Macaca mulatta: one gene and its partner. The protein of the gene in region 1 binds, or shares a complex with, the protein of each later gene. Links are inferred from orthologs where the notes say so. Each region holds a gene or a part of one and is shown on either strand. Other genes may lie near its edges.

The links. Proteins that work in one complex are often made in the same cells at the same time.
Region 2: the proteins of BTK (region 1) and BIRC2 are in contact, whole or in part, in a crystal structure (PDB 6W7O), measured with the Homo sapiens proteins. The link is inferred for Macaca mulatta from reciprocal best matches to the Homo sapiens genes BTK and BIRC2. Residues at the interface, in NP_000052.1 of Homo sapiens: Leu483, Asn484, Arg487, Glu488, Tyr551, Ser557, Lys558, Arg562, Lys595, Met596, Tyr598, Glu599, Arg600, Phe601, Thr602, Glu605; in NP_001157.1 of Homo sapiens: Pro280, Ser281, Ser282, Asn301, Asp302, Asp303, Arg314, Cys315, Glu317, Ser318.

What each region holds. Positions count from the first base shown.
Region 1 is NC_133426.1:108,279,399-108,283,482, reverse strand, and holds the start of BTK (tyrosine-protein kinase BTK), read left to right. Parts: upstream 1-1,284; 5' UTR 1,285-1,299; coding exon 1,300-1,357; intron 1,358-3,908; exon of another isoform or gene 3,909-4,051; intron 4,052-4,084. Other genes in the region: RPL36A (large ribosomal subunit protein eL42), read right to left, coding at 37-104, 286-391, 802-894. UniProt on the Homo sapiens protein: Non-receptor tyrosine kinase indispensable for B lymphocyte development, differentiation and signaling. Binding of antigen to the B-cell antigen receptor (BCR) triggers signaling that ultimately leads to B-cell activation.
Region 2 is NC_133419.1:103,239,126-103,242,625, reverse strand, and holds part of BIRC2 (baculoviral IAP repeat-containing protein 2), read right to left. Parts: intron 2,142-3,500; coding exon 1,899-2,141; intron 708-1,898; coding exon of another isoform or gene 583-707; exon of another isoform or gene 268-582; intron 1-267. UniProt on the Homo sapiens protein: Multi-functional protein which regulates not only caspases and apoptosis, but also modulates inflammatory signaling and immunity, mitogenic kinase signaling, and cell proliferation, as well as cell invasion and metastasis.

The DNA.
Region 1 (4,084 bases):
TTAAGTGGGAAACGTCAAATAGTAATTACCACTCACCTTTTTCCGGAAAATCGGCTTAGTTTGCCCACCATAGCCACTCTGCTTCCTGTCATAACGCCGCTTTCCTGGGAAAACGAATTGGTATTTGTTATAATACCAGCAAGTAATTCTTACAGGTTTTATCTTAATTTTGCAGCAGAAATATTAACGCTCAAGTCGGGCGTGGGGGGGAAGAGACCTGGACCCGTATGTTACTCTACAACACAAATGTCACATTAACACCAAATTATGCAGAATCCATCTTACCCTGGGCATACAGAGAATCCTTGCCCTTCTTGTACTGTGTCACTTTGTGGGGTTGGTGCTTGCCACACTTCTTACAGAAAGTCCGGCGGGTTTTAGGGACGTTAACCTAGTAAAGAAACCGTTCAGAACGTGCAGTGTTATTTGACGACAATGGCACAACGCCCTACCTCACCCAGCTAAAGCTAAGGCACTCCACGAGTACTCCTCACTACATGCTAACTCTGACTACAGGGTGGGTCAGCCCCATGTGCTTCAAGCAGAGCTTCCTCCCTCCGTCGAGCCCCAAAGAGGGAAAAGATCTTATTAACTCCACCCCCGGCTAACTCTACCTCTTTGAACCCATCACTTCAATTCCTGGCCCCGTAGCCCGGTCCCTTTAGGGTTGATCCCGGCAAAATTGGGTTGCTCCGGTATATCGAGTCCACACAGGAGCCTGGACCCATCCCGGCACAGCACCGGCGACGAAGGGGGGATAGATTACGCTGGATATTACTCGGCCCCACCAGCAAGTCCTACCATGCTTGCGAGAGCGATACCGGCACGGGAAGAAAGAAAGAAGCCGCGCCGCAAACGGAAGTATATAGGAGGTTCCCGATCGCACTTCCTCATGGGAGTCGGTAGGAGCAATCATAGAGTGTAAGGCTCGGCGCAGCGCCCTCCGGCTGCTGAGAGGACTCAGTTCCGAGCCGCGGGCGGGAGCTTAAGGAAGGACTCCGCCTAAAGGGTGGTCCACTCACCCCAACTTCCGCCCCGCAGCTTTGCAGCGTTTCGTCACTTTATCTCTTTTGGTGGACGCTGCTACATAGTGGCGTTCAGTGAAGGGAGCAGTGTTTTTCCCAGATCCTCTGGCCTCCCCGTCCCCGAGGGAAGCCAGGACTAGGGTCGAAAAGAGGGGTCCTCCACCTCCACGTTCCATTCCTGTTCCACCTCAAGGTCACTGGGAACACCTTTCGCAGCAAACTGCTGATTCAATGAAGGCCTGGAGGGAGCCAATTGCTCCAGTTCATCAATCACATGGCCAGTTGGTCCATTCAACAAATGGTCATTAGATGCCCATTATGTGTCAGGCACTGTTCAGGGGAAGGGATACAGTAATCTAATAGGCTTATAAATGTACAATTACGAACTAAGTACTTTGAAGAAAAGGAACAATGATTGGCGTTAAAGCAGCACCCTTCTGTTGAGGGAGTAAGTCAGCTGCTCTAGGTTCTGAAAAGTGACAATGAAATTGTTCGGCTCCTGTAATAGCAATCATCAAGCCTAGAAGTAGAAAGTATCCAGTGGCTCTTCCCTTCCTTGCAGACCTGGCAGAAGGCATATACTAGGTTTCAAGAGAGTCCAGCATAGAAAGACTGCAGGGTACTAAACATTTTAAATAGATTGTGTCATACAATTCTCACAGTAATTCTAGGAGACAGGTGGTACTATTATTCCCATTTTACAGGTTAAGAAATTGAGGTCGCTGGCCGGGCGCGGTGGCTCACGCCTGTAATCCCAGCACTTTGGGAGGCCGAGGCGGGCGGATCACAAGGTCAGGAGATCGAGACCACGGTGAAACCCCGTCTCTACTAAAAATACAAAAAATTAGCCGGGCGCGGTTGTGGGCGCCTGTAGTCCCAGCTACTCGGGAGGCTGAGGCAGGAGAATGGCGTGAACCCGGGAGGCGGAGCTTGCAGTGAGCCGAGATCGCGCCACTGCACTCCAGCCTGGGCTACAGAGCGAGACTCCGTCTCAAAAAAAAAAAAAAAAAAAAAAAAAAAGAAATTGAGGTCGTAGGATGTTAAAGGATTTTACCAATGTCAACAGTATTTAGTGAATCTAGGATACAAACCTGGGTAGACTGACTCTAGAACCTGGGTTCCTTTAACATTATAAAATACTGCTGTTGTGGCCTGGTGATTATAATAGCTAATATATATATATATATAGCACACTATATGCCAGGCATTCTCCTAACCACCTTACATACTACCCCTTTTAATCCTGACAGCAACCCCAGGAGGTATGTACCAGTATTAGTATTTAACAGGTGAGGACACTAAGGCACAAGAGATGTTAAGTTTACTTACCTGAAGTCACACAGGTTGTTATTTTTTTGTGGAACTGGAATTTGATACTAGGTAGTCTAACACTACAGCCTTGCACTTAACCACTACATCATACCAAGGAAGCAGGGGCATCTGCAGTGTAGAGGATGGTGAGGAGACAGAATTGGGCTGAGACACAGGAGGAGGTGGCAGTGGAGTAGGGACTGACGAACCATGACAGTCTGGGGTATCTTGCTTGCACAACCCTCCAGAAACATGCGTGGGACCTGAGCTGACACTCTGATCACCCCCTTTTTTGTTGGGTGGTCTCTGGGAATGAGATAATAAAAATATTACCACTACCTGCTACATTTCCTGAAAGTTTCTTTGCCAAACTTCCAGCATTTTCTTTTTCTTTCCAGATTCTTAGGCAATCTCACTGGCCTTTAGGGGTTTATGTTAGTAACATAGAAATATGAAGACCATGAACATGGCCCCTCTATGATAGAAAGAACTAATCAACCTTAGTTCTTTCTATCATACCTGTATTACATGGCTTTGTGGGGTTTTTGCTTGTTTTTGCTTACTTAAAAAAATTTAATTAACAAAAATTGTTTATATTCAAGGTGTACAACATGATGATTTGATATGTGTATACACTGTGTAATGATTACCACAGTCAAATTGATTAACATATTTATCATTCATCACCATCCATAGTTACCATAGAGGAGGTGAGGACACTTAAAATCTGCTCTCTTATCAAATTTCAATAATACAATGTTATTAACTATGGTCACTATATTGTACATTAGATCCCCAGAGCTTATACATCCTATAAGTGAAAGTTTGTACACCAATGCTGACACTGAGGTGGGAGGATCACTTGAGCTGTTCTCTGTTTTGGACATGTTCCTGCTCATTAATATCCCCTAAGATAAGGCACTCAGAACTGGATGCAGGACTCTAGGTGTGGTCTGGCTTTGCAGAGTAGGTGGCATGTTACCTTCCTCTGTCTAGATATTTTACTTCTGTAAGGAAGCCTCAATGTCACGTTGGCTTTTCTGGAAGCCATGTTAACTGATATGACATGCCTTTTGATTACTATCAGCAAAAACCCCTGAACCATTTTCACAAATGCTACTGCTACTCCACTTTCTCCTGGAGTCATTTGAAGTTCAAATTTGGGGCCCAGTTGTGAGACATCACCTTTAGCCCCGGTAAAATACACTTTGTGGAATTTGGCTTCTCACACCAGGTGATCAAGATCTTTTTGGAAACTAATTGCCCTCTTCCATCATCCAGTCTAGCACACAGAGCCTTGCACCATTCATAAACTAACTGGGCTACTTTTTATATTTTCCTCAAAGATCATCAACAAAAATGTTGAACAGGATAGCACCAAGAATAGAACCTTATATTGCATTGGGAATCTGTTCAGGTGACACTCAGCTGTTCATTTGTGCTATCTGAGTACAGTCCTCCTGTCAGTATGGATGAGTGTGCTAGGGGAGTGGTCGTGGGCAGAGGGTGAAGAAGAGCCTACATCTACTTGCTCTTTTCCCTTGTGCTCCTCTCTCTCTCTCTCTTGTTTAGCTCTCCCACTGGATGCCTGTCACCTCCCAGTCCCCACCCCAAGATGGACCTTGAGAAGGGACAGGGCATGTGACAACAAGTGACATAAGATGAAGAAAAGAGGAGGGAAGGTGAATGCCTGTGACCAATCCTCAGGCAGGTGAGTGGAGCAGCTATTGGGGGTGACTAGCAAAAGG
Region 2 (3,500 bases), on another chromosome or scaffold:
TTCCTTACTTGGCCTTTCCCCTATTAACACTGCCAAATCTGTAATTCAATACTATCTTCCGACCCACACAAAGTATGAGAAAGTCATAAATCTAAGGTGACAGTAATTTCATATAACCTTAGCTGGATTTCATTACTACTTAACAATCCTTAAATTGACCTTCCTTAGGCCCTTTCTTTCACCAAGTCCCTCCCACTTCCCAAGTCAATCTGCCTAATGGATAAAAATATATATATAAATAAAGAAATAAATTGATGTGCTAGGAGCTGTGTTAAAGTGTTTTATTTGCAATATCTCATTTAATTCCAACAGCAACCTTATGGGATTCATACTATTATGATCCCCATTTTACAGATAAGAAAGCAGATGTCTGGATAAATAGCCAAGCTAGTAACTGATGGAGTTGGAATTTTTTTTTTTTTTGAGACAGTCTTGCTCTGTCCCCCAGGCTGGAGTGCAGTGGCGCAATCTCGGCTCCCTGCAAGCTCCGCCTCCTGGGTTCACACCATTCTCCTGCCTCAGCCTCTCGAGTAGCTGGGACTACAGGCGCCTGCCACCACGTCCGGCTAATTTTTTGTATTTTTAGTAGAGACGGGGTTTCACCGTGTTAGCCAGGATCCTTTCGATTTCCTGACCTCGTGATCCGCCCGTCTCGGCCTCCCAAAGTGCTGGGATTACAGGCGTGAGCCACCGTGCCCGGCCTGGAGCTGCAATTTAAACACAAATCTGTTTCAATGTAGAAATCCAGACTTTAAACATTTTGCTACATGGTCGTGCAATAATGTACCCCTTTTTTTTTTTTTTTGAGACGGAGTCTCGCTCTGTCGCCCAGGCTGGAGTGCAGTGGCCGGATCTCAGCTCACTGCAAGCTCTGCCTGCCGGGTTTACGCCATTCTCCTGCCTCAGCCTCCCAAGTAGCTGGGACTACAGGCGCCCGCCACCTCGCCCGGCTAGTTTTTTGTATTTTTTAGTAGAGACGGGGTTTCACCGTGTTAGCCTGGATGGTCTTGATCTCCCGACCTCGTGATCCGCCCGTCTCGGCCTCCCAAAGTGCTGGGATTACAGGCTTGACCCACCGCGCCCGGCCAATAATGTACTCTTAAGTTATTTCCTATCTTTACTTACAAGCTTAAAAAGAAAGCATCTTCCAACCCAATACTCCAATACATATGCAACCTTCGCCTCTCTGCTGGCCCTTTAACCCTGTTTTCTGCACACTAGTCTCGCCAGCTAGTGTATATACTCCTTGAGAGCAACCACCATGATTAGGCACAGTATTTGGCACTGGGGCTCATGCTCATAAATATTTATTGAAGGAATAAATGATTACTCAAAATACTTGTTTTGGGGGGCCGAAACTTAACACTGTCTGGACGAATACAAAAATTAGTTTTCCTGTTATCCTTGGATTGGGCAGGTGGTTCTCATCAAGCCCCAGAATTTCATTGTAAGTTCTATTTTTTGTATGCAGACCATTTAGCAAGGATTAGGGAGTAAAATATCATATTAAAAATATGATTTGCAGAAACTTAAAAAACAGGTTGAAAAAAGACCTGCATCCAACTTTAATATCTTGCTTTCTCAAAACAATTTAAATTTGTTATGTATGAGAAAGAAATGGAATACAGCTCAAGAAAGAGCTTATTATGCTAAAATTCTCTGATTGGCATAAATCAGGGAATCTCAGCCAAAAATAAATATGTAGAAAAAAGCTGCAGTCAGTGGTTCTCAACTAGAAGCAATAGAGAGGGGTAGAAAAGGAGGGATGGTTTCGAAATTACTGGAGGACTGCTACCAGCACTTAGTGGATGTGAAACAAACATGTTGTTCTGTAACATGTGAGACAGTCCTAAGAGTTCCATTGAGAAATAATGCAGGTGACTAACATTCCCAAATACCTGATGCCATTTCTTCAGCTTGTCTTTCCTTCTCCTCTTCTCTTTTTTCATCTTCAGCATTAAGAAGTGCTGATACAATATCATTAACTGTTTTGTAGTTCTCTCCAGTTGTCAGGATTTTACTTTGAACTGTTTGTTTTACCAGGTCTCTACTAAAGCCCATTTCCAAGGCAGATTTAACCACAGGTGTATTCATCATGACGGCATCTTCTGAAGAACTTTCTCCGGGTCCAAAATGAATAACTATTTGAAAAGACACATGCTAATATTAAATTCCACAAACATAAACCTATGGAAAAAAGTATCACAGCACAATCTTTATTCATCCTTTACTCTCATATTCTGGTAAAGGAGATGAGCTATATGCATCAATTACCTATAACTCCAATAAAAGTCTGAACTTCATAATGGTCAAATGAGAATACAATTAATATGCTATACTCTTCACAAAACCCACCTCTCTGGCTACATCCTAGACCTACTTAATGAAAGATTATCTAAGGATAAGAATTAGGAATCTGGGCCGGGCGCGGTGGCTCAAGCCTGTAATCCCAGCACTTTGGGAGGCCGAGACGGGCGGATCACGAGGTCAGGAGATCGAGACCATCCTGGCTAACACGGTGAAACCGTGTTAGTTTTGTACTAAAAAAATACAAAAAACTAGCCGGGCGAGGTGGCGGGCGCCTGTAGTCCCAGCTACTTGGGAGGCTGAGGCAGGAGAATGGCGTGAACCCGGGAGGCGGAGCTTGCAGTGAGCTGAGATCCGGCCACTGCACTCCAGCCTGGGCGACAGAGCGAGACTCCGTCTCAAAAAAAAAAAAAAAAAGAATTAGGAATCTGTATCTTTTAAATATTTCCCCAAATGATTCTGATGTATAGTCATTTCTGGAAACCAAAATGCTACACAAACTTAGAAGTGAGAAATAATCTTCTCCAGCCAGGAAAGTGGGGGAAAATCACAAAGACTTCATGGAAAAGTGGCATTAGAGTTTGGACTTGAAGGATGGACAGGGTCTAGACAAGTGGATAGCTGAAGTAGAGAGAATAACAAACAAAAATGGGAAGTATAGCAAAATAGAAGATCAGTTCACCCAGAAGACGTAGTGAAAAAGTATGGCTTAAGAAGTAATTAAAGCAATATGATTTTAGGCAGTGACAGATGCTCTGAAGAAAAAAGTAGTGTAAGGTCATTAAAAGAAACTGGGAAGCAGGAAGACATTTTAGATAGGGTAGTCAGGGAAAAATTTTCTGCTAACAGTCAATGCTAGCCCATATGATACTTTTATGAAAAAAATACAAAAAGACATAATTCTTCAAGATACTACTGCCATCTTCTGTGAAACTGTTATAATAAACATATAAATATACAATGTCAACAATGTGCTCTCTTGTTCAAATATGCGTGGAATCCCTGTTTGGAGAAACGGCACCAGAACAAAGACTTAAATAACAAGGAATGAGCTCTATTTCACTTTTAAGTGCATCCCTTAAGGAAATACTTAATGTTCAAGGTAAGAGACACATGAGAGGATCGTTACAGCAATATTTACAGCAGGAAAAAAAAAACCCAGAAAACAACATAGCTCTCAATAGGGAATGGAT